Linked DNA regions of Tribolium castaneum. The protein of the gene in region 1 binds, or shares a complex with, the protein of each later gene. Links are inferred from orthologs where the notes say so. Each region holds a gene or a part of one and is shown on either strand. Other genes may lie near its edges. The genes, in order: PolA1 and Prim1.

Region 1 (16,693 bases):
CACTTAACAAAACAACTAAACCTCCCGGAATGTTAATACTCATTGGTTTTGGGTGTCGGGTTCTTGTTTTTCCGCGGCACTCGATTCTTGGATTTGTTGTCTGATTTCGCGATTTGATTGCAACAGGAGCAAAAGTTGGGCGTGGATATCGTCGTTCTTTTGCTCGATATTGTCCAACGCTGAATTCAGCGCGTCTAGCTGACTATCAAGCATCTGAAATTCTGTGGAGACGGTAAGCCCCTAATTCAATTTGCCTTAACCTTACCTTCGGGTGACATATCGTCCAAATCGTCCCCGGTTTCTTCGTCCGAATGCATTTCCTGGTCCGGGGGCTCGGGACTGTTTTTATTAAGACCATTTTCGTGCGGAAGATGCGCTTTTTCGCCCATTTTATACAATTTTTATTATTGTTATTATCCAATCATGTGATAATTTTGACAGTTTAATTACGTCATTGCAAGGAAGGTGGTGTATAACTGGTCACATAGGCAAAACAATTGGATTCATGCTTTATTGAAATATAAAAAATACAAGTTATAAAAGTGGTACAAACAACTAAATCTTAAATAAATGTGATTTTGGTGCGAGTCAGATTCACTTGCCACACGTTCAATTCCTCATACTCTTCGATACAGGAATCAACTTCCAGAGGAGTGTGTCCCTTACTGGCACATTTGTTCATAACGTCTGATAGTTTGACTGTTTTCGATTCTCCAGCCAAGTCTCTAATAATGGCAAAGATTTGGTCGTTGACATTGGGTGGTCTTGCCCCTTTTTCGAAAGTCTGGTTAAGAGAATCTTTGCTCATTTCCATCAACCTTATAGCTTCATTAACATCGTCTTTCTCCACAACATTGGACAATCTCAGCCTGGCTAAAGCCGTCGACAGCCTCAAAATCCCCAACAAATTCCTAGCCGAAGTAAAAGTCATGTCTCTAGAATTCCGGGCCACATTTCTCAACTCCACATAAGCATTAACGATGTATTCAGTCAAATCTTCGGGAATCACCGGTTCTTTCAACTTACACAGTGCGATGTATTTCCGCATAACGCCCATATCAAGCGATTTGATTTGAGTCGGGGGCTGTTTGCAGTGCTGGTGCACGTATGTGATGTGTTTGGCGAGTTTCAGATCATTATCGCGATCCGCTTTATCCTGAATCAACCAAAGGAGATCGAAACGGGATAAAAGGGCCGCCGGTAGTTGGATATTTTGCTCGATTGTCCGCTTCGGGTTGTACCGGCCATAGGCCGGGTTAGCCGCCGCCAAAATCGAGACTCTGGCGTTCAAACAAGTCATAATACCCGCCTGAAAATAACAAGCAATTTGCAATTTAAAATACACTAATAACAATAAACAATTAAATACATTTGGATTAGGCGCCATGGCATTCGGTGCTGTAACGTTGGTAGTGAAACAACTGGCGGTTCATCAAATACGCTAAATACGATTCAAAAACGATGCTGAATCTGATATTTTGTCCAAGTTTTTGGGCAAAAGTGTGAAAAACCGTCAGAATTTAAATGTGGGGCCGTAAATGTGGAATAAAATGGTGTTTTTTACGTTAACAATAAAAAATCTCACTACCTTAGCAATGCTGATTGTTTGTTGTTCCATAACTTCGTGAATGGCCGTCCTGTCCGCATCCGCCATTTTATCGAATTCGTCAATACAACAAACCCCCTGATCGGCCAAGACCAGTGCGCCCCCTTCCAGCATCATCTCCCCCGTCATGGGGTCCTTCATAACCGAGGCAGTGAGCCCCACTCCCGAAGAGCCCCGTCCTGTGGTATACTGACCTGAAACAACCCCTAAACTAACCCAATCAAATTCAAACCATTGACTCACTTCGTGGCGCTAACCGATCAATGTACCCCAAAAGTTGCGACTTGGCGACTCCGGGGTCCCCCATCAGGCAAATATTGATATTCCCCCGGATCTTCATACCGTCAGGTCTGCGGTCCACTCCCCCAACCAGCAAAAGAAGCAAAGCCTTCTTAACGTCAAGATGACCGTAGATTTCCGGCGCTAGAGACACCGCCAATTTTGTGTAAAAATCGTCTTCGGTCAAGACCGATAGTTCTTCAGGTGTGAGGGGTTTGGACGAGCTTTCATCCTCTTCGGTTTTGTTCACCAAAGCGATTCTGTGCGCCTCGACGTAAGTCTCCGACAGGAGCCCCCCCATGATTTGTTTGAAGCCGGTCTTGAGCAAAGGGAGGAACACGCCTGTGACGGCCACGTGGTGCCCCGGAAGGGCCAGGCGAGTGACTTCGCCCCGACAAAAAATAGTCAAAGTCCGGGGGATGTGCCCCACTGGGACTTGGTCACTGTGTTCCTGGATTTTGAGCTCCTGGAATTTGACGAATTTGGAGCCACGGGTTTGGAGGTATAGGCGCCCCCCTGATTTGTTCACACGGCAGTCTTCACTAGGACACATCAACACCGGCATGAAACTTAGTCCGTGGACAGGTTGGTAGGTCTCAGCCCCGCATTGGTCGCAAGTGTAGGTCGCTACGGTCATCATAGGTTTGACTTCGGTGCTTCGCGTCACTATGCCCCTAACGGTGACCAGTTTCCCAATGTGTTCGGCTTTGACTTCGCGAATTGGGACGGTTTTAGTAGTTGATAAGTCTTTGAAGTAGATTTCGCTAAAACGCCAATTTAAAGTGCCCACCCAACTGGTACTTTTAACTTACTATCTGCGTAATAATTCCGGTGGAAATTTATTACGAGCATCTCTCTGCTCGTTCGGTTGTCTCAAACGCTGCTCCATCATTAGCCTGTGTTCAATGTAAACGTCCAAAGCGTCTTTGGCCACGACTTCGCGTTCCACGAATGTGGGCAACAGTTCGAAGACAACGTCGGAGAATAAAGTCGTGTACCGACGAGTGTTGTTTATTACAGCTTTGGCTAAATCATCGTCGTGTTCGTAAAGATCGTCAAGCTCGATGTAAAGGGCTATTTGCTCGCGATGAGCCAGTTTTGTCAACTGATTCGAATATTTAAAGTTTTTCTGACCGGAATCATCTTGAATGCAAAACTCTAACAAGAAGGTTCTTATGGTCTCTAAAACATGAACCGGTAAGGTGGAAATTAACCATTTATAGACTGGACTCACCTTTATCTTTGTCGTAATCACGTCGGTTCATGATTTTTGGCGAATTTACACTACTTCAAGCCGGAATTGGAGTTTTACTAACGTTTATTTACGACCACCTGTTTGCACACAACACACGCCAGTTTTGGCGCGAAAACAGGGAAGTAGTGGGAATTTAGGTTTGTTTTGTTGGCTACACATTCACAAATTCAATTTATTCATAAATTAATAATTAATACAATAATAAGAAGTTAGAATCACAAATAAAATGGTAATTGTTACGGAGACTATAATTTAGGAGACGAAATGAGACTTTGTGAACCAAAAAATAGTACGGCAAATGAGTAAAAATGAGGCGCTTCGAGCATCAAACCGTTTCGGCGCCAAAACGATTTAAATTAACTTAAATCCAATCAATTCACTAATTAATTACATGGTGAAAATGCAAAAAAAACAAAAAACTAAAATTTTCAGACAAAAACATGAGAAAATTTAAAATTTGCCCTTCGTTCTGTATTTTTCAATACGCGTATGGTTAAAGATATACAAGAAAAAAGGCTTCACGCTTTTCAATTACTTCGGGGATTTCTTGGGAGCTAGGTCATAGATTAACTAGGTGCTGCCACAAAAAAAAGCTGGAAATGCCACCGCAGAATGACTACAAATGATTTAAAGGTAGGTTTTTTAAGCAACGAATTTTTACGCCAGATTTGTAATTTACTTAACTACGAGTACATAAATAACGCAACATTTATAATTCCAATGTACAATAATAAAAATCACTCATCTTCCAACATCAAATTAAGCAGACTTTCTTCCATCGCAAAATCTGGAATTTCCTCATCCTCCTGTTCCTTTTTCCTGTGTTCGCACCAAGCAAACATATTTTCCATCTTAACGGTCGAAAAGCCACAAAACTCGTAACGCCTTTCTACAGTTTCCTTTATTTCATGGTAAGCTTTCTCGACTTGAAGCTCCAGCGATGGCACTGAAAACAGAAAATCAATTTCGAACTCATCTCACCCTCAACCACTCACTTTTACTCAATTTAGTCAAATCGAAAATGTATTGGAAATACGTAATCTGCGTGAACAGACTCAAACCCGAATATTTCTTGATCAAGACTGAGTTACAAACTTGACAAAAGGGAACCCGTCCTGACGAGCTCAACGGAATCCTCACAGTTTCCTTGCAACACATCGGATCCTCACAGTACATTTCGTTCAAATAAAACTTCTCGATGTAGGAATTTATCGTTTCGGTCATTTGATTTTGGATAAAGGGGACGTAATCGGCCGGCCTGGCCTTACAGCGCGCATTCTGACACTTTTGTAAAACCGGAATATTGTTAGAAAATGGACCATCAACGGTGTTTTCGCTCTCACAAACCAAACATTTAAATACAAACTTGTCGACGTTCCGGAACTTTATTTCCGGATCTATTACGTTCTCTCCGTTGTCATCGTCCACCTTTACTTTTCTCAAATTGCTGCTATCGACCCCGAGACAATCGGATATTTGCACAAGGTCCAACGCTTCAATGGGTTCGCAAATGCGGCTCACCACCGGATGAATCTGATTAGCGAGGTAGTAAGTAACGTCGATTTTGAGCGTTTCTGAATTTTTCAATTCCTCAATGTGGTAAGCGCGTTGCGTGGCCGGATTTTTCGTCCCATCGTCACAGATCAGATAAGGGACGGTGTCCCCAGCCCGATAGTGCCCCCCTTGCTTGTTGTATCTGATAGCCACTTGGACGTGTGGTAACGTGTTGTCCTCCGGGTACTGGTCGGGGTTTTTCGACAATTGTTTGGTGATCACAAGGAGGGAAAGTGGCACTTTACCCTCTTGTAGATCCTCCCGAAGTTGGCTCAAATGAGTCAAAATATTCAGGAAGCGATTTTCGCTGCTTTGGTCACTTAGAATTTGGTTGAGGACAAATTTCCCCGCTTCGGCCGCAAGTCTCGACCAATCACGTCTCACTATGTCCAAGCCTTTGTACTCAATATCGGTTTTCAAGCGGCCCTCCTTGTCCTTACTTAGAGTCACAGCAGCGTATTTCTTCTTCTTGAGTAACAGTAAGTATTTGAAGACACCGTCAATGTCGAGCTCGACTTGCCGGTACAGCTTATTGATCTCTTGCTTGATTTTGGTGCCGATTTGCGCGACTTGGTCGAAGTCCACTAAGTTTGTGTTTATCATAAGACTGTCGGTGTCGCCGTAAATCACCTCAAAGTTCAGTCTTTCGACCACTTCCTTTGTGTTTGTTAAAATCTCGCGGCCTTTGTGGGTGATTAACGCGGCCAGATTTTTGGCGTAAAATCGCGAATTGGCAAAACCTAGACACCCGTACATGCTGTTGGCGGTGAGCTTTAGGGCCATTTGTCTTATGTCGTATTGCATTCTCTGGTCGGGGCTCAAGTCCGCGCTTTTCATCAGCTTTTTGACTGCGCGCCGACTTTCCACCAACTTTTTTATCTCAGTTGGGAGGACTCCAGCCGGGAGAGTTGCATCGGGTAGTACCATGTTGTCCTCGGCTAGGTTCGGCGGCATTGTGGTGAAGCAAATGTTGTACTCTTGGATGATGCTGGGGTACAGCGAATTGAAGTCCATTAGCAGGATGAATTTGTCGTAGAAGCCGATTTTCGGGTCGAGGACCAAGCCGCCCGAATAGGTCGCCTTTTTGTTGGCCGTTTTCTCGCCGAAGTCTTTCTTCCCCGACGATTTATCTGGGACAATGTAATTTTTTTCGGAGAAGGCGTGGAGGAGGAGAAATTCGTTGCGTTCTGACCGCCCCCCCATCAAAGTCTTCGACATGACGTTGCCCGCAATGGTCGTAATCTGCAGCGCTAAGGGGATGATGTTCAGACTGTACATGATTTTGAGGACGAACGCTGTGTCCTGCATGGTCAAGGACACAAGTTTGAGGAGTTCCTCTTTGCTTCTGAACATTTTGAGCACATCGTCGGGCTCCAAATCGGTTCGTTGTTCGTCCTTGATTTTCAAAACGGCCTGGCACAAGCTCCCCAAATCGTACGATCGACATCTGATCAATTCCTTCGCTGCGGTTTTGACATCGCAAACGAGTCGGCCGACGAATAGTTCTTTTTCGATTTTGTGCCGTGAAAACGTGGATTTTTTTATGCGGCCCAATTTACTGAAGTTTGGGATTTTATGACGGAACATTCGTTCGGCAAGGACGCTTATTTGGTGGCCTTGTAGGTCGTGACCGACCACTATATCGCTGTCTAGTTTCGAAAATTGTGTGATGAAGTAGTTCAAAAGGGCCTTTTCCGAGTGCATTTTTTGCAAAGTTGTTATCTTGCAGTCTTGCATCACAGTGAAGAGGTCAGATGAAAGGACTTGGGTGTCCGGACAGTAAAAAACTGAAATTGGAAATTAGATACAGTGGATGGAGCAGACTAGATTTGATTTAAAGTGTGATGCAATTTGCCGCTTATAACGAACTTTTGACCAAAGTATTTGATAGTTGTGTAGACTGAGCCGTTCCTATACGTATGAATTTAATTAATTTCAAATTTGAAAAAAAGACAATAGGGAAAAAGATGCATATTGCAATCAATAACAATGCATTTATTTTGTTTTATTTTTTTTGTGCTCCATAGTGGAAAATAAATGTTAAATTTTTAAATCACATACAATGTGATGTGAAGTGCACATTTAATTAATTTAATTTAATTAAATAAAAAATGTTTTAAAACAAGAAGCGACATTTTAAGAAACAATTATTATAATATTTTTCTTCGTCTGTCCAAAAAATGGTATAATAATGGTGTAATTTTTTAGCCGAACTATAATAACTTTATATTGTACTTTTTTGTCTATGACAAAATTCGATTCTTCTGTTCTCAGCTTCGTACATCGTTTTGCGGCTTATTTGTAACGTGAAACACTAAAAAATTTTGAAGTCAAAGTATTTACACATTCCCTAAATGCTACATTATAATCAGTAGCATCAAAATTAATTGCTTTTTCTGTAAATTCTCGAATATTTTTAGTACGTGGTATATCAAGAGCTTATGTAATAATCCTGTTATTAATTATATGAATGAATTATTCTATAAAATGTAGTAATTTTGGTATAAAACGAGAAAAGAACGGTAATATTGTTGACTATAGACTACTTTTATTTCATTTTTAATAAATTAGATCAGTTATTATGTATTTATTAAAAACCCATTCAAGAAAATATAATTTTTTTTGCAACAACTTAACCGGTAGAGGATAAAATATGTCAACCAATTTTTTTCTTCTTTGACACAGAGAATTAGAATTACTTTATTCGAAAGTTTACATAATGATTAGGCAGTGACATTTAAGTGAATGAAATTTGGTGGTATCTTTGCCAAAAAAAATCAATACAATTTTTTTTATAATTTTTTATGAGGGGACTCATGTTTCTGAGGCTGTGTTTGTAAATTTTAATTCAATTTAAAAGATATTAAAGAACTAAGCTTAATTAAAATTTCATATTTGTTTAAAAGTTTTGTTAATTCCAAATTTATTCGCGGACCAAAACTCTAAGGGAAAATAGCCTATATTGTATTACTTCAATTGTACCTTTGCGAATTTTTAAAGAACAAGTGCTTATATTAACCTTTCAAGATTGTAATTATCACCGGCAGAAAATAATTAGACAGTGTATTCTATTTTAAAGCCGTAGCTATAAATTTTATTGTGTTATTAACGAAAGAACAAATTTTGGACTTAACAATGAAAGCCTGCTCCAGTTTTTCCTAAGGGTTTTTGCGCTGTTATTTCAAATAATGTACAATGCATATTAATAATCTATCAGTTACAATAGTTTAGCGTCCTTTTACCTATACATTATACAAAATCATTTTTAACTTTACCATTTAAGCTGTAATCTCTTTTATTTGTTTTCAGTTTCGAAAAATGTATCACTGCTTGGTTTCCTAAATTATCGCGTTGTTATTCTATGGCGATCATTGCAAAAGTGTCTAATTTTGTTATTTATAACATTCCAAGTTTCTCTCCAGGAGAGAGTTGAAAGATTATTTATTTGTTTATAATTGATTTAACACTAACACATGTTATTTGCATTAAAATGTACACCTCATTTAGATATATCTCCAGTTAAAAAATATATTTCTTCAAATTAACGAAAAAATTAAAAGTATTAAACATATCAACCTACCAAAGAACATTTTTTTCATGAATCATATAAAGTATTTTTCTCAGAATTTGCCAAAAAACAATTTCACTTCTTTTGAGCTCTACTATCAACTTACAAAATTTGCACAACTATGTTGTTTCGCAAAAGATTCATATCGTCAGATGATAAATTTTCTGAGTTGCACTGTATTGAAAAAATTTATCGGACAAACTTACCACAGCAGTGCTTTTGGAACGCTTCAGTAGGTGCTTGTTTATCAACGGAATAACTAACATTAGTGACAAGACTCAACATCACGATTTCGTTTAATCCCGTCTTGGGATTGAAAGCTCTTCTCATGTTAAGAGCAGTGACGACCAACGGTGGCGGTTCAATCGCCTCCTCACATATTGTAACATCGGTTAATTTGTCACAATTTACTTGCAATTTGCACCAAGTCGAGGGATTCGATTCCGGTATCGGATTCGCGATATTTAACCAACAGGGCCCTTTAATTTTACGATCGAGTAAAAAAATCTCGAGATATGAACTCTCGCTCCCAAAAACACGCGAAAACGTCCGCCCTTTGGTGGTTTTATCAATTGGGGGATCTGTGGCCGCATATCTAACTTCGACATAGTCCGATTCTGACGGAACTTCAAGATCGAAAGCGTACTTTTTCGTGACGGGTCGAGCTTTGAAATTTTTGATTCCTTTGGTTTTCATCAGTTCGTTGATTTCGGCGTAGACGTCCTGAGACGTGACCGGCTTTTTGGACTTTTCCTCTTCCACTCTGGGTAAGAAAAAAATCCGCCGGTCGATGTTACGGATAATTACGGTACAGCTCACGTGGGTTTTCGTTTGAGTGTGGTAGGTTTTGCCGAATAAAACCACAACACCCGGTTTGATAAATGGGTCTTCGTAAGCGTCCCACCAAAAAAATCTGAAAACGCTTTTGTCGTCGATTTTCACGAGAGGAATGTCGGAGTTTTGCAAGTCGATTGTGGTTTCGGTGTCTTGGGATACGGACCATTCTTTCAACATTTCGCTTTCAATATTTTCCCACAAATCTTGCTTTTCTTCAATTTGGGGTTTGGATTGCTCTGCTTCAGACTCTTCTAGTTGGGACAGATCCAAATCGTCATCAAAACAGCCATCAGATTGAGTTTCAGCAACTTCTTCACAACTCGCTTGAGTTTCTGCAATTTCTTCACAACTCGCTTGAGTTATTTCTGGCTCCAGTTTATTTTCCGTTAAAATCGTTTCTTCAGTCGGCTTTGCGTGATTTTCCTCCGTTGATATCTTAAGTGGTTGTTTCGCTTTCGGTGTTCTGCTGAGAGTTATTACTGGTTTTTTGATGGAAGTTAATTTCCTCATGTAATCTTTTTCAGCTTGTTTTACCGACAGTGGGGAAAAATTCGATGTTGCGGCCTTGGATTCACGTGGAGTTTCATTAATTTCTTGTAAAAGTTCCGCCAAATCATCATCCTGATCCAACTTTTTTTCCTAAACACACATTAAGCTATATTACGTTTTGATCGTAAAAAATTAACAGACCTCTTTCTTTTTTGATGGCATATTCGAAATGAGGTATTGTAAGTTCCCGCGACCTGCATTTTCCGCCACATTTTTCTTACGTTTAACCCCCTTATTTTTCTTGGAAGAAGCTGCAGCTATTGAAGCATGATCCAAATCATCATCAAATATATCCCGACCGTCTTCTACATAGCCACTGCCGTCTGTTAAACGAATTACTATTAAAATCTGAAGTGTTTTAACATAAAAAAATACCATCATCAACGATCCAGTCGTCATCCTGACGATCTAACACTTTTTTGGTGTATTCTTTCTCATCAACAGTGTCGTAAACATTTTCGAGTTCTTCGACTTCGTATTTATTTCGGAGGCCACTTTTCAATTGCTTAAATTTCTCGAAAGCTTTAGCTTTGTAAGAGGAGTCCCGCTTTTGCCTCTTGGGCCTTCTTTCGGCTAAAACGAAAGATGCGCTTAGTTTTTAACTAAATATTATTTACTTGTGACTCACAGGTATCGTCTTCCATTATCACTATTAGAAAAACACTACAAACAACTATTTACTGGTTTTTAGAAAAATAAAAAATTCACATTGACTTGGCGGGAAAACTTTAATTCTAACCTCACAAACGTGATAGATGATAGTAGTGTTTTATTTGTTTTTATGTTGGCTGACATATTTACAGAATTAAATTTTTTTAGTTTATCTACTGGTGTTTATCTTAAAAATAGTTCATGCGGGAAAAGTTTATGAAACCTTTAATCCAAATAAAAACTTGTTGGGACAATTTCTGTGAAAATTAATTGAAAAAACATAGGTATCTAGTGCTGGCATCACTGCTCATTTAGGCGGTTTCTTTCAAAAAAAAAAAAAACTAATTCGGCAAAATTCCTTTATTCTCTTTCGTACAAATTCTGGTATCTTAATTTGGTTTGCAGCACATCATCCTCAGTGGTAACGACAGTTTGTGGTGGTATTAGCGCACCAGCTACATGTCTTCCTTCAGAACTTAAAAAATTAAACGTTGCACAAGCTTGTTCCGTAGGAAGAATTTCAAATGTTAATTTGTGTTTGCGTGCAAACGGTACAATTTTTTTATAGAAACTGAAATCTTTTTGTGGATCTCCTATTCCTAAAACAATTATATCTAATTTGGGTTCTAATATGGTAAATAACGAAAGTGATTCATCTGTAATTTCGTTGATGTCGCCAACATTCCATGAAAGAACTGATCTAAAAAAACGTTGGTATAATTGTGTTCGATAACACGTTACGTATACTTTGGAAATATTACAACGGAGCCTAAAATCGTCAAATCGTTATTTAATCTAAAACCCGCCTAGAAATTAAACAATCAGTTTGTAATTACGCCACGGAATTGAATAATACTTGACTGAAGCCGTTTATCATTAATCCCACCTCGTCCTCATTGTTTAATATGTTTACGGTTGTTTTTCCTTCACCTTCGTAAGCCCCCGGTGGAGCGCTTAATTTTTTACTGCCGTACAAAAAACGTCTAAAACCGAAAAAGCGTCACAAGACGGTTAATTACCTGAGGTTTTATTAACCTAATCGTATGATTTGTTGCTAATTTGAACAAACTGACGCTTTGTTTAAACATTTTTCTGGAAATCAGAGGTTATGTAATTTGAACATCTGATAAAATTTTGGCGGGAAAATTAAAAAAGTCAGTTGTTATTAAAATTGCATTTATTTAGGCAGTACATAATAATATTTCACCAACATAGTCCCAAGTTATTAAATACGTGTTCCTATGTGTATAACTACTAAATAGACGCTACTTTATACAATATAATCTCACTGAAATGTAAAGTTTAGTAAATAAATAAATAAAGTTTAGGTACGCTATGAATGCGTTTTCATGTGCGTGGATAGGGGCCCGGTTTGCGAAAAAGCTTTATTACAAATATTGCAAGTGTACGGTTTTTCCCCGGTGTGTATTCTAAGGTGTACTTTTAAAGTTGAAGCCTGATAAAAGCCTTTTTTGCAAAAAGGACAAATATGGTTTCTATCCCCAGTGTGAGTTTTTATATGAATGCGTAAATCTTCGCTTCGTGGAAATGCCTTTGGACATAGATTGCACTGGTATGGCTTTTCGCCAGTATGTATTCTTCTGTGTTTTTTTAATTGAGACGAACTGACACAACCACGGCCACAAACGCTACAAACGTAAGGCTTTTCGCCGCTGTGTGATCGCACATGGACTGTGAGTCTCGACGGATCAGGAAAACCTTTACCACATTCGTTGCAAACGTAAGGACGCTCACCTAAAAACAGACACAATGGACAAATAATATTTGCAATTGCACAAGAGAGGAAATTCACTTTGCTTCTGTGAAAAATGTGTATATTATTTTTGCAACTCGCTTTATAGAAAATGATATTTTACTCCCTAATTCCTAAAAATCTCTCTAGGGAGGTAAAGATATATTTTGCACCTTTAGACTAGAGAGCAAAATATCATTTTCTATGAAGCGAGGTGGAAATAAATGCAAGTAAACCAACCTGTGTGCGTCCTTTTATGTATGGTCAGATTACTCGGTGTGGTAAAACCTTTGCCACAGTAAGGACAAATGTGGTCTTTAACGCCCGTGTGAGTCTTCATATGCATTGCAAGAGAACCAGAACCACACAACCTATAATTTTTTTTTCGTAAATTAAAGTATTATTTTTACACATGGTTTGCTACCTTTTGCCACAAACCCCACAAGCGTGGCTTTTTATGCCACTATGTGTCTTATTATGCGCCGCCAAACTCGTATAACGTGAAAAGGCTTTGCCACAAACTGAACAAATGAAACTTTTTTCGTTCGCATGCGCCCTCATATGCTCCAACAGACGAAAAGATTGAGCAAACGATTTGCCGCATAATTTACAAGGAAAAGGCTTTTCACCAGTGTGTGTTCTTATATGTCTTGTAAGATCATCCGATCTCGCAAAACCTTTGCCACACTCACTACACAAATGCCGTTTTGCGCCATCATGTACTTTCATGTGTCGACACAAAGTGCTCGCACTTGCGAAACCTTGATTACAGATTTTACAAATGTGTCTGCTAATTTTCGGATGTGTTTTAGCATGGGCCTGCAATTTTTTTTTTGAGAATTTTTACTGAAATAGTTGAAACACAGCTTCCTTGATCAGTGAAGACAGATTTCAATGTAGCTCCTTCATTGATCAAGGGACTGGTTTGCAAAATAACCTTCAAATCGATCATTGTAGTGAAACACTGAGTGCATTCCTCACATGGATAAATCGGTTGTTCAGTGTCGTCTCTAATTTTCTTTTTCTTTGATTCTCTTTTAGCTCTCAGTTCGTTTATTTTGCTTTCGGCATCGCTACCACACGAATCTGGATCAACTGACAAAAATGTGAATAAAGTACTTAACAAACATAAGTTTCTTCTACTTACTTCCTAACACGTCATTGTCCACAAACTCCAGTTTCATTTTCATGTCTTGGGACCCTTCCGACTTGAAAGAATCCCCAACGTCTATGCTATTCACTGTTGCAACTGCGCTACTAAAAGCCTCATTTACGGAATCTGTTACGGCCTGTATATTTTCCGTGACGGTATTTATAACATCGTTAAATGAAGGTTCGTGTTGATCACTAGACAATAATGGTTTTAATTCCATAAAAGTGGCCTGCATGGGTTTGCCTAGGAGTTGCCGCAACGTTGCATCTGATCTCTCGCATAATTGTTTAAATGAAAAAGCACGAGTTATGTAATGAACACATTGTAAACAAACTTGGTTGGGCAATCCGTCGTTTTCCAAAACCTACAGAGAAACATTGAAAATGGGGCACAAGGGGGACCACCTTTGATTTACCTGCACTGCAGCACAAGACATTAACATTTCAAACAAACGCATTGTTTCGCCGATAGATTCGTCAATGCTAAATACCGAACGCATGTCACCTTCTTCCGAAAGGCAGGTTCTACATATCTTTTCGATTTGGAGTGTTTCGAAAGACATTTTTAAAAAATCGTTTGTTTATTAATTTAGGTTATTTCGATGATTGGCAGACATGTTGCGCACAGCATAAACCAAAGAAAGCGTGTTATGTAACCAGTTATACACTAGCGTTGTAAATAATTAAAAAAATTGTTGCAAAATACTGTTAAAAAAAAGGGGGTCAAATTGCTTATAATACTTAAAAGTTATGTTTTATAAAAAGTATTTTGAGTTGCATTTTTACCCAGTCAGGCGCAAAACATTATACGAATAACTTTGTACATACATACAGATGGTCCACAAGTAATGTGCATAAATTTTTTTTTGTAGCAAGCGTAGATTACGTGGACAGTAAAATATATGGTTTCAATTAATCAAATATTCAATTAATTAAACATTATATAAAACATACTGTCTAGTTTGTAATGTTAATTTATTTAAAAAGTTTGTGTTAAAATATCTGCAAAAGACGGTCAGTATCTAGGGCCTGATGGCCTAGTGGCATAAGCGCCACTTTCGACGGGGTAAGTCGGGGGTTCAAACCCGGATCAGGTGTAACAATTTTTCTATGAAAAAAAGTATAGAAAAGGTAAGGAAACAACACGTAAACAGAAATAAGAGGTCGAGAGAACACATAGACGTATAAACGTAAAGCGGAGCATAAAACTGAGAGAAATCAGAAAATAATGCGGCAAAAATGTAAATGTACCTAAAGGCGCCAAATTGTAAACGTACTATTTGTTTTGAGAAAAAAAGAGATGAACGTAAAGGTGAAATATAACTTCAAACTTTAGTTGACTTATACGCTCGGTATCTTTTGATGGAATCTGGTGAAAAATTAGAGAATTAAATTGAAAAAAGTGGAAAAAAATGTTTTCTCGAGCTAATTCGCCGACATTTAAACTAAAAGTATTAGCCATTTATGTGAATTATTGCAATTATTTAGTTTGTAATGTTGATTTATTTAAAAAGTTTGTGTTAAAATATCTGCAAAAGACGGTCAGTACTTGGGGTCTCGTGGCCTAGCGGCATAAGCGCCACTTTCGACGGGGGAAGCCGGGGGTTCGAACCCGGATCAGGTGTAACAATTTTTCCATGAAAAAAAGTATAGAAAAGGTAAGGAAACAACACGTAAACAGAAATAAGAGGTTGAGAGAACACACAGACGTATAAACGTATAGCGGAGCATAAAACTGACAGAAATAAGAAAATAATGCGGCAAAAGGTAAAAGTACGTAAAGACGCAAAATTATAAACGAAAGAGCACATCCTAACAAAGGGAAAATACCTTTTGTTTGGAGAGAAAAAGAGATGAGCGTAAAGGTAAATCATAACTTCAAACTTTTGCGTTGAATTCTTAGATGACTTACTTCTTAAATTATAAAAGAAATAAAACGAAAATATTTAATTTATCTCTAAAAATTTTTAGTTAACTGATTTTGTTTAGTAAAGTCCCGAAAAACATTGTTAATAAAAATCATGGCCACTGCGAATCCAGTAAACGGAAGAGCACATCCTAATAAACGGAAATACCTTTTGTTTTGAGAGAGAGAGATGAACATAAAGGTAAAACATAACTTCATTAACTGTATTTATTATCTTCCAAAAATTGATACAATAATTCACATAAAACAATCTGTGGATCTGTGGTTGATGTTGGTATTTATTAATGGTCCAAACTGGAGGAACATTAGTTCAAAAGTTACAATCGTTGAGGCCATCTGCAAAATAAATGCAGTGTTTCTTAAACATCAACAAAAACGTATTCATACCTTTAAAAGAAAATTTCTGGTTAGTATGAAAAATTTTGAGCCTGTTATTCCCACAGGACTGGAATTAATTTGTTGAATAAAACGACTAATCTAAAACTGAAAGGTAAAATTGGCCAAATTTGTTATTTTATACCTCTTCACAATAATGTTCCGAAGGAACCGAATGAAGAATTTCGAGTGGTTTTCTGCTTTCGTCGTTAATCCAAGCTCCGTAAAGTGTAACAGCGATTGTTCTAGCTACCAGAAATCCAAAAGAGAAAAAATAGTAAACTGTTTCGACGGTACCGACACGAATTCTAAAATATTGTTGTCAAGCTTTTGATCAAATTTTGCAAAAGCAGAATCTTACTTTAGGCTGTTGTAAAGCTGGACGCATATAAAAAATGCATTGCTAACAAACGAAATTACGACTAAAGCAGCGATATTTCTGTCAACAACTGCCGTCAAATGTGCGAGTTTGTTATAATCTTCTCTAATTTCTCTCCAGAATTTTTCGTGCAACAGTTTATTATTCTTGAGACGGTGATTGATTTGAGCAAAACGTGAGGCGAGTGAGCAACTTATTAAAATAATAAATAAATCAGTGTAATTCCAAGTTGCAGTTGATAAAATGTTAGCAATCTGCAATAGAAATTCGTGTGTTTCCTAAACCTTGAATATTTTTTAACGTCTTACTTCAACAAAACATGCTTTCCAAAGAGAATAATCAATAAGCGTGAAAACTGAAGGAAACGCCACACGGAAATACATTTCGTCTCCACTATACAAAGTAGCATTTTCGCAACTTTGACTTGTTATAAAGGCGTTTGCAATAAATAAAAGGTGTTCCACTGGAAAAACTTTATAAACACTTGAATTGAAACAGTAGGGGTTACCTAAAGCTAATGTCATAATCACTGAAGTCATAACAACAAATCTTTTCTTCATATTAATCGAAGAACCGTAATTTCTCATAGACATTTCCATAAAAGACCATTCCTTCATAATGGTCACCCAATGTTTGCTAATTATGATAAATTGGATGCTTCCAAAAAAATTGAGGACGTAAAAGGACATCGTCGCTACGGGATAATAAAAATGTACAAAATCAAAAACGTTTGAGACACAAATACCTGTCTTGTCTAACATCAGCCCATCCAACGCAAATTTCAAAATACAGAAAAGTCCCATAACAA
Region 2 (16,469 bases), on another chromosome or scaffold:
GGCTCCGATCAGCACTTTTAATTACAAGAAGAAAGGGTTTACGAAACCACCGACTGATTATTATTTCCGGCCCTATATGCTAGGTTCCGAGAGACTCAAAGCGGTACGAAGGGACGGAATGGCTTACTGTACCGGCCCTGAAACAGCCGGTGAACGCGTCTTGAACATAGCTAAAGACTTTTCTGAAAGTTTCAAAGACGTGGCAAGTTTCTCCTTCTTCTGGACGAACACTTTCAGTCATAACGACCTCAACCTGCCCTCAGGAATGGACCGAAAAATCCGCGACTTCCTGGAGGACATCGCCGCCAAAGGCGTGCTAGACAACACCATCATCTTCTTCCTGAGCGACCACGGGATCAGGTTCGGGGAAATACGGTACACGCACACCGGGTGGTTGGAGGAACGCCTCCCGTTTATCTACATATCGGTTCCCGACCGCTTCAAGCGCCAATTCCCGTCCGAGTTCCGAAACCTGGAGACGAAGCGCGACCACTTGACCACTCCCTACGACATCTACAGGACCCTGCAACATATCCTGGTGCTCTCAGGACTCAACTACACGCAGAAACCGAGCGATGGGTGTCCGAAATGCGCCTCACTTTTCGCACAAACCGAGTCGGAGAGATCGTGCGAAGACGCAGCCATCGAGCCGCATTGGTGCACGTGTGGCGGTTATAACCCGGTGCCAAAAACCAACCAAACCGTTCAAAACGCTGCCAAATTCGTTGTCGGCCAAATTGAGGAGAGAATCCGCGCCAGAAATGGGGCTTCAAAGTGTGCCAAATTTTCCGTAGGGAGGATTATTACGGCGAGGGTTTCCGAACGGTTTAGTTACAAGAGTGATGTTTATTTTCTGGTGGTGATGGAGACGAGGCCCAGGGCGGTTTTCGAAGCGACGGTGCTGTGGAAAGGCGAGGCGCAGTTTGAGCTGACTGGAGGGATAAGTCGCCTGGATAAGTACGCTGAGCACAGTAGGTGTGTGGAGGAGGCCTATCTGAAGATGTTCTGTTACTGTCGGTAGTGGTCAAGTGCCTATTTTTCAACGGTGCCAAAGTTTGCTCAGACGGGCGCGAGTGGAGAAATCAAAAAATTGTGATACTTTGCATTTGGTACAATAAAGATTTTCTAGTCAATGCGTTATTGTAATCGATGTCGTTATTTTAGGAGGGGTATTTTATATCAGTTTAGTCTTTTGTGTCAATAAATATGCACTTCTATTTATTTCGTGTTTCATTTCAAACTAAATTATAAAAATAGCAGTGGTTTTCTTGGGAAAAACACTGATCCAAAAATATTTGTTTGGCGATGCCAAAAACTCGTAACATACAATGTTCGAAAAAAATGCAGAAATAAATCGCATTACGATGTCTCAAAATTTTTAAAAAATTAACCAAAAATCCCGAAATTATGTCGATAATAGCGTAATTTTTTACTTATCTGAAAGCTTAAACATGTGTAAAAAATTACAAACTTGAGTTAACTATACAGTAAAACCTCTCAACAACGGACACCGATGGGGAACCTTTAATTGTCCGTTGTGGAGAGGTGTCCGCTAATCGGGGTGAAAATTTTAATTAGGATTAGTTACATTCCTACAAAAATGTCGCTTGTATAGAGCTGTCCGTTAATAGAGGTTTCACTGTATAGGAAATCGTTTGGTTTGTTTGGAAAAAATACTGATTCAAAAATATTTGTTTGGCGATGTCAAAAACTTGTAACATACAATGTTCGCAAAGAATGCAGAAATAAACCGCATTACGTGCGATGTCTCAAAATTATTATTTGACATAACAATTTTTTTTAATTGTTATCAAAAAAATAATTCGCAAAAATTTGACTCGGTCACATAGTCATGACATTAAAGTTTTCAGTCAAATAGACCGAACTAGCCTGTCGGAAACAACATTTTTTACTAATCTAGTTTACAGAAAAATCCAAAACATTCAATGTTTATTACTTTCGTGTTATATTTTGCGTGATTTTAATGATTAATACAAGTGGAGTTGCGAGAGTGAATTGTGCTCACATTGCAGGCAAGTAAATAATATTTCCAAAAATGCGAAAATTGCTACTAATAAGTTCAAGCTGAAGTTTTGTGGACTTTTCGAATGTTATTGTTGTTAATTTGCTAGAATTATCAAAGGTTTTCCACAAATTTCTCAATTGCTTCTGTTGAAAATGCCGATTGGGAAACTGTTTGCTCATTATTTCCGGGTCCATAAATGCGAAAAAGGGACGTTGTGTTCTATGCGAATTGTTTTATAACACGCTAATGAGTAACAATTAGGATTGCCATTGCCGCTGATAAAACAAATAGTTTAAAAATAATCAAAATTTTCCAAACGGATGCAATCTTATAGATTCTGCTAAATTATAAGAAATAATCGAAAAAATAATTAATCCGCCGGATGTTTAGTCCCAACTTATCTAATTTCGCCGTAATAACTGTGTGAAAATTACATTTTATCAAAATAATTAATCATAAGATCTAGACTATCTTCAAGGTGTCATGTTTTCACGCCGATAACGTCGGTACTTTAACTTTCTACGAAAAAGTCGAAAAGATTGTAACCAGAAATTAAAAACTTCGATTCTGGACGCCTCATTTCTACACTTGAACTCTAATTTCTAAAATAAATGATAAAGTTGAAAATAGTTGAATGTTGATTTTTTTCGATTTTTCCCTTAGAGACAGAAAACCCTGACAACTACGAATAAAATCGCATTACTTGCGACGTCAAAGCTCGTCAAAATGCCTCTCCGAATCCACAAAAACAAAATTGTGTTTGAAATATTCCTGGTGGCTAGTATCTCCCTAATGTGCTTCACCCCCTTATTTTTCTACAACAGAACCACCACCACAATATCTCTGATACATATCGAAGACGCCAAACACCACGTTCCGAGTAAGAAAAGTGCCTGCATTTCTCCAACTACTAAACAAAATTGCAGTCCCAGCACTTGTCTCTAACAACAAGTGTTTGATTCCGGACTTCTCCCAAATGTATTTCCAACAATTCATGTACTCAATCCCCAAGAAATACACACCGTGCAACCGAAAAAACTACCTCACTTTTGTGACAAAAAGCGAAAATACGGCCACTCTGCACGTCAAGCAACAAAATGGGTTTTACCCCGAAGTTTCCTGCTGTTATTCGAACATTTCACGAAACTTTGACCGAGTAAATCCCGACGATACCATCAAGTAAGAAATTTGTTAATGGGGCAAATTTTTAATTAATTAATTTTGTAGAATTTCCAAATGTCGGAAGTTTACGAAAAATGTGACTTTGGCCACTGACTTCGTCTTGGTCAAGTGTGACACTGGTTCGGTACAATACAAACAAGTCCATGCTGCGATCACGGCCAAAAAAACGACCAAAAATTCCGACATTTGGCCACCACCTTTCAGTGTCTTGATTCTAGGAATCGACAAGATTTCGCGCCTAAGTTTCATCCGGAATTTTCCAAAAACCCGTCATTATCTAACGTCGAACAATAAGTGGGTTTCTTTGAACGGCTACGCGAAAGTGAGTGACGACACTTTCACCAACATTTTGGCCCTTTTAAGCGGTTGCAAAACCATGGAGTGTGATTTAATTTGGTCCGAGTTCGAAAAATACAACTACACCACAGCGTTCGGTGAAGATGACGTGTGGTCAAAAACTTTCACCTTCCACAAACAACTCACAGATTACTACTTCCGGCCCTATTTTATCGCAAACGAAAAATACCCAACCGTGGAACTCAATAAAATGTTCCCGTGTCCAGACCGCGAAACGCCCTTTGAACGCCTCCTGGACCTGGCCAAAGACTTTAGTGTCACGTTCAAAAACCACCCAAGTTTCGCCCTTTTCTGGATCAAAACGGCAACTGTGGGAACCTTCCCGAAGCTGGACTACTCGATCCGGGCACTTTTCCGGCACCTGAACCGGAAAGGCGTGTTCGCGAACACGTTCGTGTTCTTCCTGAGCGATCAAGGGAGGCGTGAGGGGAAAAACGAGTTTACAAATGTGGGCTGGTTGGAGGAAAAACTGCCTTTCGTTTATGTTCTAGTCCCGAAAAAATTCCAAGAGATTTATTCCGAAGAGTTCAGGTTTTTGAAACTTAAGCAAAACGAGTTAACCACTCCGTTTGATCTGTACATGACTTTGCAAGACATTATGGTGCTGACTCAGGTGAATCAGGACCCGAAACCTAGTCAGAGTTGTCCGAGGTGTGAGTCGCTTTTTATGGATGTTACGGAAAAGTCGTGTCTGGATTCGGAAATTGAGAATAGGTCTTGTCCCTGTGATGGGTTCGTTTTGACGAATCTTGACGATTTAGTTGTGAGGAACGCCTCACTTTTTATTGTGAATAAAGTAAATGAGTTTGTTGATCAGCGAATGTGTCGGAGTTACGAGTTGAGGAAAGTGTTAAGTTCCAGTGCTTCCTGGAGTTCGGGTTACAAGAAATTACTAATAAGTGTCCAAACGTACCCCTATTCAGTTTTTGAGGCGTTTGTTACGTATGTTGATAAGGTTTTTGAGCTCGATGGTGAAATTAAAAGGCTAGATTTTGCCATTGTTAGGTGTGTTAGTGATTCGTTTTTGAAAAAATATTGTGTGTGTAAGGGTAAATAAAACGATAAAATTATAAATGTTCATTTATTTCGTAATCAGTAACAATGAGTAATAAAAAACGTAAACTAATTAATATTCCATTACAGTTCCTGGAAATTCAAACAATTAATTTGTGTTCGTTACATCAAGGCAATAAAAATCACCATTTTTTATGGCCCTGTTTCGGGCAGCTGAAGCCTGCAAGCCTCTTAAAAACTCGCAAAAAATTGTAACATATTTGAGTAAACTTGTCTTCTTGTAGTCTTTTATTTTAACACTGGTTTGGGAATTTTCCGCTAAATCTTTCTCCTGAGCTTTGGTTTTGGCATCGTAGGTGTTTATCTCGTCCAAGAGTTGGCTAAAATGCTTCCTGAATAAACTGCACGCCACACAAAATGTGCCACTTCTTATAATCACTCAGAAACCATTTTTCTCGGTGTTTGTTAAGAAAGCAAAATGCTCTGTGAATACTAAACTGCACACCGGAAAAAATGTGCCACTTTTTATACAGAGTTAGTGCATTTTTACTGTACCTCAAACACTAATAATCACTCAGAAACCATTTTTTTTTTCTATGTATGTATTCTTTTATAATCAAAATTACTTAAACAAATATTCGCCAGCCTCAAAAAAGAGACCCTGTATATTTCCGTAAAAAATCGGGCAAAAAATGTGAAAAAATAAGACACAGTTTCGGGCAGAAGTATAACAGCAACACTTGTATAGTATTCAAAGTGGTACATTTTCAGTGTCGGGCAGTTAATTACCTGACTGTGGGTACGGCATCTGGGTCAAAATGCTCGATGAATTTGGGCTTAAAAGGCACCGAAACTTTGCCACTTTTCGGGTGAATGCAAAACGGCGCTTTCAGCAAGTGATTTAAGCTTTTGGTGACGTTGATATCAAGTCGCGGATACGCATAGTAAAATTTCATCTCCTCAACCATGTATCTGTAGTGTTTTGGTATTTTTTGCTCTCTTTGTAACGTCTGAAAAGTGTTAACAAAAGCCTTCCAGCGCTCGACCGAAGTCTGAACTTTGGTCATTGCGTCTCGAAACAAAGGACTAAAACCCTCGTCAATGTTGCCCAAAAAAGCGTCCAAGCGCTCATAAGTCCCTAAAATGTCCTGTTCGACAAGAATCGACTTTTCGAAATATTCATCAATGACTTTTAAGGCCCTCCTTGAATTAACCAATTATTACACAACTTGGGAGCAAAAATGAGGAGATAATTACTCAGTGGCCGCATGCATGTTGAAAAACTTGACTTTTCGTACCACAAGGCCCCCTCGCAACAAAGTCAAATATTCAGCAATAGCCGACCGTTGATTATCATCCAAGATCCGGGCCTTTTTATCAGCCACCCAACAATGGATGCCTCTCCGACCCGAAAACACCCATAAAATGTTCTCAAAACCGAAGTCCTCCCGTAAAGCCCCATCCAAAATCTTGCACGCAATCACCATAAACTTCCAGCATTTGGGGCACACCCCAGCTCCCGTACAACAAGTCCGAACATCATCATAATCAGTCATATCGATATCAAACACAATCTCTCGCTCGACTGGTGTTTTGGAGCTAGAGTAACTTCCAGACGACTCAAGTCGCTGCTTGTAAATAGCCCCAATATCGATTTTAACCGGGAAGCGTTTATGGAGCGCTTGGGCAAAGTCCTCCGCATTTTCGAAACTCTGGTAACGGAGGTAAATGTCTCCGACTAGAGTGAACGAAATTTCGCGCCGGTTGGACACGTTGGGGTCACCTGAGGGGCTCACTTGACCAAAATCGAGCTTGGAGGCAACTTACCGTAGCAAAGCCATTTGTGGAGCGCTGTATGGGGGAACAGACGCTTGTAGTAGATGGGGAGCAGGTCAGGGAGGCTGTCTTCATTGTACAAAGAGGCACTCATCACGCAAAACACAGTGACAACTTTTCCCGCCAAAAAAAGTGAGGTTGTGTCGCAATTGGTTGCGAGCTTATGCAACCAACATTACGTCATTTATTTTTTTATTTAAATTTCGTTGCATAATGATCGATATCATCAGTGTGTAAAAACATGAATTTGCTATTTATTTGATTATTTATTAAGTAAAGGGTAAAATACAACATAATCATTTTATATCATGGGTTATGCAACCAACATCCGGTCACATTGTAATGTTTCAATTAAAAAAGCTCATTTTTGTGCGAACGGGAAATCGGGGTGTTTATCAAGTCTAAAATAACCAAAGTAAGGCTAAAAACTGACTCTGTGATTATTCTTTACCCTCCAAAGACCTTAAAATCGCAAACTCTGGCCGCCTCCCCCACATTTAAACCATACAAAGTTTTCATCTCATCGTCACTCAACACAAAATCGAACAATTTTCGATTTTCATCGATTCGTTTCGGCGTTACACTTTTAGGAATAACCGCAATGCCCCTCTGAATCAAGAAACGTAACGCCACTTGAGCTGGTGTTTTTTTGTGTTTTTTTGCAATCTCACTAATTTTTGCATCTTCCAAAATATTTGCCAACTGTCTGGGTCTGCAAAAAAGTGTCTAGAAATGAAAAAAAGGGCGCAAAAATCGTACTGTTGGCCCATTTTTTGCAAAAACTTGTTCATGCCGGGATTCCCCAAAGGAGAGTAGGCAATAACAGCAATTCCGTTTTTTTGACAAAATTCTACAAGTTCGCGTTGTTGCAAATAGACGTGGAGTTCGACTTGAAGTGCGGCGGGTTTAATTTTTGCGTTTTTTAGCACGGTTTCAATTTGAGAAATGTTGTAGTTTGATAAACCGATATTTTTGGCCCTTCCGGCATCAACCTGCTCTTCCATTTTCTACAAAATTTACAACAATGGGCAAAAAATAGCTACAAGTTGTGTTAATTCGTTCATAATTAATACTGTTTAAAGCACGAACGAGCAATAGCGAGTGAGCGCATCAAATAGCCCACTATTTTATTCTGGTAAAACGGTGGTAATTCGGTAATTGATAAAGCGTTTTTTGTGTTAAGTTATTTTTTTTCAAACCTTCCACAGGGCGACGTGGTCGGTCTTTCCCTCAGTCTCAATCTCCCCTTTATCGTTAAATCTGGGCCGTGCTTCCCCCTCGTAATAAGTACAACCAACGGGGAAATGAATCAAGTACAAATCGACGTAATCCAATTGCAAATTCGTCAATGACTTTTTTATAAACATGTCAACCCTGTCTGGGTGAACCCCCGTCATCGGAAGTTTAGTCGTAATAAAAACGTCCTGTCTTTTCAAGCCGGAAGCAAAGCGTTTTTTCAACACTTTCCCAATCGCCGCCTCATTTTCATAAACCCAAGCTGTGTCAATGTGCCGATAGTCTAAATCTAGGGCGTTGTTGACCGCAGTTTCGATTTCTTCATCGCTTATCGCCTGATTGATAAAAAATGAAATAAAAAAAATTTGATGCCAATAACCCACCTCCCAAGTCCCTAGGCCCAAAGCCGGCAGTTTTTGCCCACTTGGGAGCTTCAAATACAGTTGCGAGCCCATTTTTGTATAAAATAACGCAGAATGGAATTGCTGACAAGTATTGTCAAGAATTTTGTTAAAAATGCGAAGCTACAACGACAGACATTAAAAAAAAACGGAGATTTACTCACGGAAAAGTACCAGTCTTAGACCACTCGTGAGTTTGTTCAACATGAGAATAAATTAGAAAAACCTTGAAAAAATAACAGCTGAAAGGTTTTATTGGCTCTTCCGTGTTTATGTTATTACATAAGGTGGAGGTTATGCAACCAGTTATAAGTACAGTCGACCAGAAATTAAATTCTTCGGAGACACTCTCTTTATATTTTTTCAATTACAGCTAAACTATTCAAAAAAGTAAAACTATTTTTGTAAAATGATCTAAAAAATTAACTGGCGTCAAAAAAAACGCAAAATACCAAATAATTTTTTAGATTTTTTTATTTTCACCAATTTTTGTTTTTATGAGCAATGTCCGAGAAAAAGATAGATAATTAAAAGAGCTTTCCAACGATAATAAACTCAATAAAGTTGCGTCCAATAGTTCCAGGGTTATAACTCGATAAATGTTCCGGGTACCGGAAATCGATCAAAATTATTACAAAAGTTGAAACAGTTTTTTTTTTAAATAAAACTTCTTAACGTATTCTTACAATTTTAAAAACTCTAGAAGTTTTCTTTACTACAGCAAAAGAAAAATATTTTTTGACGTGACCATCATAATTTTAGCCAAAAATAAAAAAAAATAATTGTTGTAACAATAGGCTAAAAAACACACCATCAAATAATGTAATAAGTGTTTTTGCACTATTAATAAAGAGCTTTAAAGGCAAAAACGAGTAAATTATTACTATGACACGCAACCAGCGATGCAAGAGTGAATTAATAGTGGCCGACATTAACAAAAAAAGTTTTTGTATTATTTTTATTTATCGGATGCAACTGATAATGCACATTTGACCTTGACTTATTTTAAATAAATCATGTTTATGTAATTATAAATTCAATCAAATTAATTATAGCAAAGATAAAATTAATTAGTTTCAGTAATTTACCTTTCAGCACTTGTGGAAATGATAAATTTTTTTCTTACGATTTGGAAATAAGTAAGAAATAAATTATACAATTTAATTAAGATAAGAGTGGCAAAATGAATAACCTTTAATCAATTTGGAAATTTTGATTTAAATTCAGCCAAGTAAAATTCCAATTTATTACGAATCCTCTTGCATCAAGCGAATGGTAAATGTAAATGTAAAAATTTGCCTTGAGCCAAAATTAACATTTACGACCAAACGAACACAATAGAACTAAGCTTTATTTTTGTAAAACTAAAATAGAAAACAATTAATAAAAATTTAACGTATAATCAGTGATTGTGAGTGTAGAAGATATGTTTTCGTAGTGTAGTGGTTATCACGTGTGCTTCACACGCACAAGGTCCCCGGTTCGATCCCGGGCGGAAACAGTCTTTTTTTTTTTCGTTTTAACGCATTACCAATCATTTTGTAAAAATTCTCAAACGTCCTCAAAGAGTTAAAATAACAAAAAATACAATTGGGGACTTGGTCGTTAAATAATATAATACCTCCGATGTCCTCATTCTGTTCATATGGCGAAACTTCCGACTGGAAAACATTAGATAAAAGTCACTTACAATAGAAGTAATTTAAAGTTGAGATTACGCCCTATTTCAGTGTTTACACATCCGGAAACCTCTTAAAAACTTTGAGCATTCCACCTAATGTGGCATAATTACACAAGAGCCGCATTAAAAACTTGGCAATTTTGCAGAAAAATGTCTCAGAAAGCGAGTCCCTTGCCGATTACATCTATTACAAGTTTGCAGACTATTGATTGGGTCCGAGTTATGGGCGAAATTAGATTAACCCGCAGCGAGCGATTCTTTTCACAATAGCGGCCCACTTGCAACTTTTACTTTTGTTTAGCAACTAGTAATTATAGTGAAATTGTTTGAAATTTTCTCGAATTGGAAAATTGCACAACAAGGCATGGGTCGCCGATTAAATCAGTTTATAGCCGAAAACAAATTAAGTCATGGAGGGTCAGCAGATAAACACTTAGCTAACGTTCAAATCTCAGTTTCGTTGAGTGCGTCCAAGTGACTTTGTTAATTTGCTCGCTGGTGGCTCGAGGGATTAAATAATGCGACAGTGGAAACGGGGAATTGGGATGGAACGAACACGTGATCTTTGTTTGGACGAGACGTCCCGGAATTGATAGCAAGGTCAGGGATTTTCCGGGTTTTTGGGTCAAGTTAAAAGTGTGACACTAAATTGTTGGGGCCCGATTTAATCACAGTTAATTACTTCAATTAGGTTTTTTTTTTTCGCGAAAAGTTGGAACAAAGGAACACTTGAAAAATTTAATTACAATTCAGCTCATCACAATGCAAGAAACAACGTCTAGTTATGTCTAATTGGAAGATTCGCTTCTAAAGGAGTCTCATTTCTTTGATAAGATTAAATTAGACTTGAATATGGTCATTGTTTTCCGTAATTTTAGAGGAGAATCGATTAAAAATTACTAAGTGCACCTGTCACCAACCGTTAGTGCTTTTCCAGCAGGAATTTACGAGTTTATTAGGAGTGAGCGCGTAATTAACTTGCTTCATTTAACCCAATTTGCGGGATTTTTTCGCGGAGTAAATACATTTAGTATCGATATTTATTTATTTCCGGGAGTAAATTTAATTTAACGTAATGCTTCCAAAGGAAAATCGCTTCAGAAGCTCCCAAAATCGATTTTTTAATGCTCTTGTCAAACTTTATTTTAATCTTAAAGAATTCATAACTCGGTAACCAATCGTTCGAGGACAAAACAGTTTGCACAGACGGATTTCCCAGACAATTTTATATTAAAATGTATTTTAAAAAATTCATCGATTTTAGTGTTAACTTTTTTTTTATTTTTTTTATTTTCTCAATTACAGCTAAACTATTCAAAAAAGTGAAACGATTTTAATCCCTACCATTGCAAAATGATCCGGGGAATCGATTGGCATTGACAAAATTGCCAAATTCCCAATAGTTTTTTGGTTATGAATTTTTTTAAATTTCACCAATTTTTGCATTTATCTGCAATTTTCTCGAAAACTATTAGTCGGAGAACAATAATCTTTTTTGGAAAAAATAGATAATGTAAAGAGCTTTCCAACGATGATACACTTCATAGGGTTATCTCTAATAGTTTCGGAGTTATTGCTCGATAAATGTTCCGGGTACCCGAAATCAACCAAAATCGCGACAAAAATTGAAAAAACCAAACATCAAAAAAGCGAACAAATGTCACTTTTTTGGACTTTTAACAATTCTAGTGGGTTGTTAGGACATATAAAAGTCCATAAAACTTTACTGCAGTAAGTTTAAAAGACGATTTTACTCTACGACTTCTTATTTTTGAGTTATTTTTTTACCTTAAAAAAAATCCACACCTCTCATTTTATATTTTTCCCAACTTTTTAAACTTAAAAAGTAAAAAGCACCGAAATTTGGCTCAAATTGGCAATGGTCCCGTTGCAATCCTTGTGTACATAAAAATCAAGCCTGGGCGAGTCCGCCCCTGCTGCCATTGTCCTGTCGCGTAAAAAATTCATTAAAGTGTTACTCCAATTAAGCTCTGTTTTATCCCGCTTTCCTTTCTCGTCCCAAGACCCTTTTTTCTATTATTCAAACACGAAATTCTTTAACTTTTTCTCTCCGCTCGCTTTCAATGAACACATCACACAATTGATCCGATTTATTTTTTCGGTGGTCGGTGATTAAAGCTTGAAAAGACTTAATCAAAATGCTTGCAGTATGTAAATTCGCAACCGTCGCCTCCAAATGTTATAAATTCGCAATGACATTTCGGGATCATTTCCATAAAGCACGCCCCTTGCGACTCCTAAATCAAACGACATAATACATATCTTCCTCACAAGGACGCTCAAGGATTTGTCAAGTTCTTTCATCTGTTTTGACCTGTTTTTTCACTTATTGAGGCTCGAAATCGTGGATTCAACTATTAAAAAAGCCTAAATTTTTCTTCCGAAACAATATCAATCACGCCTCGGATTTCAGTTTTCAGAATTGGAAACGAGGTCATGTTTTCTTTCCGTATTTTGTTACATCGTTAGTTGTGTTAGTTTATAATTTATTTAGGTGCGCATGTCTTGAATCGACTCGGATAAGTGGAGCTTATTAATTTAGCTCTTACTGCTCTATCTTAATGAGAAAATTAAATGCTCTTATATATTCAGCTTTGTGCACTCTATGTTAAGGGAGTTAAGTAAATGAATTGGGTTGAGGGAGCGAAAAAGTGACAAGGTAAAGGACCTCGCTTCCGGCAGGATAATAGTTTCACGTTAATTTTTCAAATTGTAATAAAGTTTGATTCAGGCTACATGTTGCGAGATTAAACCCAAATGAAAACATAGCGCCGTTTTAATTTAATTCAAATATGAAGCAACTTTGTGTTTACCTCTTTCTCTCTATGGGTTCTTTAATAAAATTACAACTTGTGTTTTTATTCGTCGGGGAAAAAATTATGACGCGATGCTTTTACTCAAATTAGCATCTGGAAACGGTTATTATTACTTGTTAATAGCGAGGTAATGTGCTTGTCTAATAAATTATTCAAAGAAAAATTCAAATTAAAACACATTAATTTGTTCAACAATAGTCAACAAGCGACAGGGAAAGACGGCCATTTGAATTAAGGTTTCGTAGTTTCGACTTTTCTCCAATGACCAAGAGAAATTACAAAATCGAAAGATTACAATTACTCCAAGAAAAATTAATTGGACTTTTGGTTCAAAAAAGTGTTTCAGTCCTCAGAACTTGCAAAAATAATGTCATTTTTGACACAATTCTGATTTATTGACTCACTTTTTAAGAAATTTTGCGCAATAATTAAGTTTTAGCTAAATATACACTTAGAAAAGATAAATTTTTTGGTCATTTTCGACAAAAGTTAATGATTTTTTCGTTCTAGTTTAATAAAAACAGGACGAAGAACATGAAATTTTAGTAACTAGTAAACTTGGCACTCATTGAAGCAATTAAACTCATAAAAAAAGTACAAATTTTTGTAAAATGCACTCCAGCAGTTGTGAAAAAATTAGTTAATGATAAACTATACAAAAAATTTTGAAAATAAAAATCTACTGAAAATAAAAATACCAATATGTTTTCACTATTTTAAAACACGTTTCCCATGGCAACGTGTTTACATTAATGTTTTCACTATCTTAAAACACGCTTCTCATAGCAACGTGTGTTTTAAATTAAAATGTTCCAAAAAAAAAAGCTTAAAGTTCTCGGGTGTCTAGTTATGCAACTCGCATACGCTCGTTGCATAACGTAATAAAATTTATTGCAAAAAACTACGTTTTTATTTTTCCTGTAGTCGAAATTAATAAAAAAATGTATCTTAAATAAAATAAGACATTGTTGTTTTAGATTTTTGGGTATTTAAAGTTAGACAATTCAAAGTCAGCCAAGTTGCATAACTTTTTTTTTAATTATGATTAATTGATGTCAGCTAATCACACTGCTGGCAGCTTTCTAAGCCCCGAAAAAGATCGTGTGGTTGTCTTAGCGTTTGTAAAAACATCATTAAGGCCGACTCCGGCGGCTCCGGACGCACCGAGAGTACGCATAAAGTTGGTCCAGTTCGCGTCCTGAGCGTCGACAGCGTCGCAGTTCTACCACCACTGCGGTCTTAAAAGGAAGCTTTCGTTGTGCGCGTTATGCTGTTCGCAAAATTTCAAAAACCGTTCAAGTGGCGAAAGTGTGAGTATCACAAACCGTCGTCGACTCACTATCACCTCCAAAATCTCCCTTTGATCGAATTTCTACAGGTGGTTGTTGGACGTTTTTGCTTTCGGGCCGGCGAATTAATTCAATTCGGCTCGGCTTAGAATGAGATATTTCCGGCTTTAAAAAGCAATTTCGACCGCGTCTTCGGCAATTACTCTCTTACTTATGCAGCGAAAAGTGCACTTGAGGAGAGAAACAATTAGACGGCCTTGCTGGCCTATTTTTAATTGAATTTTACTGACACCACGCTTTAAGTAAACCGATAAAATATCATTGTGAACTATTTTTACTCATTGGGTAAATATTCATTTTATTCCCACTAGCATACGATTTTTAAGTCTTGTTAATTCGATCGAGTTTAAATCAAAATCATTGGATTGTTTCAACCAGCAGGATATTGATGCCCGGATTGGTATTTCTAGTTTTTTTTGCGGGGATATTAACTTTCAATTTTTGGAGGCACGCGAGCGTGAACTTTGGAATAGCAGTTAAACCCGTCTCCGTGAAAGGGCAGAAATTAAACAATTTTTCTCTAAAAGAGCCCAAGCTGACTAAAGGCACAAAAAAACATTTTGCTAACAAGAATTGATGTCGGGCGAGATGTAAAAAAATGTGTTTATTTTTTACAATGAAACTACAATCTTGTAACAAGAAACAGAAATGTTCGTGTTTTTTATTGTAAACAAATAATTATATGTTTCAAATTGCGCTGAATTGAACACTTTCCAAACATTGATATTTTGGTAGTTTCTTGCTAACGTCACATACAAGGTGAGTCTGCTGTAAGTATTTCAGAAACTAATCGTCGCACAAAATCAGCGTTTGCTGTTAAATACTTTCTTCCTATGCTTGTGATTTCTTTCAAAACTTTATCTACAATTTATTAATTATAAATTCATAATAAATAAGAATTAATTAGTCGATATTCTACAATTTCTCGTGTCTTTCTAAAACACAAAATGTTTAAAAAATGTAAAAAAATATCCATTTAGCATCAAATTTGCTCTGTTTTTTCTTTCGTTATAAATTGAAATAAAAACTCTCGAGTGTTCTTTTACTCAATATATTACGTTTTTGAACAAATATTAAAATTTTAAAATACCTCTTGATCAGAATATCAGATTTGAAAATTTTGACAAACTTTTGAGCATATATTGGCTATTTCAAAACTATAAAAATGCCACCGTCGCATTTTACCGAAGTAATTTTTTAAATAAAGTTGATAAATATGTAAAATAGTTATTAATTATTCTTGTTGAAACTAATTTATATATACATTAGAATTTATTTATAATAACAATTTTTTCGAAAAAATGCGTTGCTGGAATTTTTGTAGTTTTGAAACAACTGATATCTAGTAGATACAGGAAGAGCCTATAAAAAGTACATTTTTATTAAATATTAGAAACCAATATTTGCACCGAATTCAGCTTTTGCTATCAAATACTTCGTATTTTTCGCTTTTTGTGTAATTTTTTTAGAATTTTGTTTACAATTCCTTCTAATTAAACTTATTTCATTAATTAATTATTATTCTGTAGCTGCAAAAAATTGTTATTTCTTGTGTCATCTGAGAACAAGCGATGTTTAAATGTTATTTTGTGATATAAAGATTTGCAAAAAAGTCGCTATTCCAGAAAATAATTATGTGAAAATTAAAAACTCAAATAAACGTAATTTTTAATGTTGGGAATTAATTTATTAATAATTTTTTGCTCTAAAATATTATTTAAGCATCGTTGTTGTGGAAAAATACTAGAAATCACAAAATTCCGATTAATTATTAACATTTTTATATTTTTAATTTTAATATTAATATTCTTAATTAATTGATTTTAATTACAAGAAAAAAATAGGAAAATTCTGAAAAAAATCACAGACATAGAGAAAAGCATTAAATATTTACCAGCAAACGTTGAGTTCGGTGCGACTTATAATTTTTGAGAAAAAGTGAAAGACACTTTTAGCATACTCACCCTGTATATCCCAAAAACTAATGACTTAATAAAAAAAAATGCAAAAAAACTAAATTTTAAAATAAAATAACCAAAATCAAAACCAAAATTAAAAAAAAACTCCTTGTCTGCAATTTGAAAGACACTTTCAGTAGTTTTGTTTTAATAAAAATCTAGTTTATTTTTGTAAACACAAATATCATTCGTAATAGTAAAGCCCCAATTTGATTGGTTGGTCGGAATACATTTCATAAACATCCCTTTAATATCCCATTACGCAAATTTAGGTAGGTACTCGAATTAATTAATTCTGCAAACTAATTAAACAAATCTTAAATGATTCCCCTCGTTTTTTTAATAAAACAAAGCGCGACCCTCACCCGATTTTTCCGTCTTTTCCACACAAAAACGACGAGTTTTCATTTCCGGTGAAAAATCTAGATTTTTGTAAAATTCTTGCAAGTTTTAAGGAAATCGGCATAAAATGGAAAATTAAAAAAACTCAACCTTAAAGAAAAAAAAATAAGAAATTACGTCCCAATTTATGGAAATCAATTTTTGGTCGGAAGTCAAATTCTAAACAAAAATAAAGCCGTAATTAGCGTGT

Evidence for each region.
Region 2: PolA1 (region 1) and Prim1 share a complex: the UniProt entries of both Drosophila melanogaster proteins name them as parts of the alpha DNA polymerase complex. The link is inferred for Tribolium castaneum from reciprocal best matches to the Drosophila melanogaster genes PolA1 and Prim1.

Annotation. Positions count from the first base shown.
Region 1 is NC_087398.1:9,858,206-9,874,898, reverse strand, and holds PolA1 (DNA polymerase alpha catalytic subunit), read right to left. Parts: upstream 10,430-16,693; 5' UTR 10,293-10,429; coding exon 10,277-10,292; intron 10,222-10,276; coding exon 10,024-10,221; intron 9,972-10,023; coding exon 9,790-9,971; intron 9,739-9,789; coding exon 8,469-9,738; intron 6,482-8,468; coding exon 4,136-6,481; intron 4,087-4,135; coding exon 3,878-4,086; 3' UTR 3,795-3,877; downstream 1-3,794. Other genes in the region: UPF0184 protein AAEL002161, read right to left, coding at 40-221, 266-389; DNA replication licensing factor Mcm7, read right to left, coding at 563-1,309, 1,589-1,800, 1,850-2,649, 2,698-3,067, 3,120-3,150; NADH dehydrogenase [ubiquinone] 1 alpha subcomplex assembly factor 3, read right to left, coding at 10,660-10,999, 11,047-11,105, 11,156-11,282, 11,335-11,387; zinc finger protein ZFP2, read right to left, coding at 11,633-12,054, 12,293-12,423, 12,477-12,871, 12,990-13,147, 13,200-13,569, 13,621-13,767; gustatory receptor for sugar taste 64f, read right to left, coding at 15,369-15,467, 15,519-15,608, 15,652-15,814, 15,868-16,139, 16,194-16,348, 16,394-16,579, 16,631-16,693. UniProt on the Drosophila melanogaster protein: Catalytic subunit of the DNA polymerase alpha complex (also known as the alpha DNA polymerase-primase complex) which plays an essential role in the initiation of DNA synthesis.
Region 2 is NC_087395.1:25,578,672-25,595,140, forward strand, and holds Prim1 (DNA primase small subunit), read right to left. Parts: upstream 6,657-16,469; 5' UTR 6,510-6,656; coding exon 6,407-6,509; intron 6,363-6,406; coding exon 5,837-6,362; intron 5,783-5,836; coding exon 5,369-5,782; intron 4,960-5,368; coding exon 4,766-4,959; intron 4,712-4,765; coding exon 4,692-4,711; 3' UTR 4,633-4,691; downstream 1-4,632. Other genes in the region: uncharacterized protein LOC659544, read left to right, coding at 1-1,021; uncharacterized protein LOC659605, read left to right, coding at 2,753-2,906, 2,953-3,205, 3,254-4,622; aldo-keto reductase family 1 member B1, read right to left, coding at 6,777-6,816, 6,867-7,127, 7,175-7,422, 7,615-7,986, 8,035-8,175, 8,227-8,259. UniProt on the Drosophila melanogaster protein: Catalytic subunit of the DNA primase complex and component of the DNA polymerase alpha complex (also known as the alpha DNA polymerase-primase complex) which play an essential role in the initiation of DNA synthesis.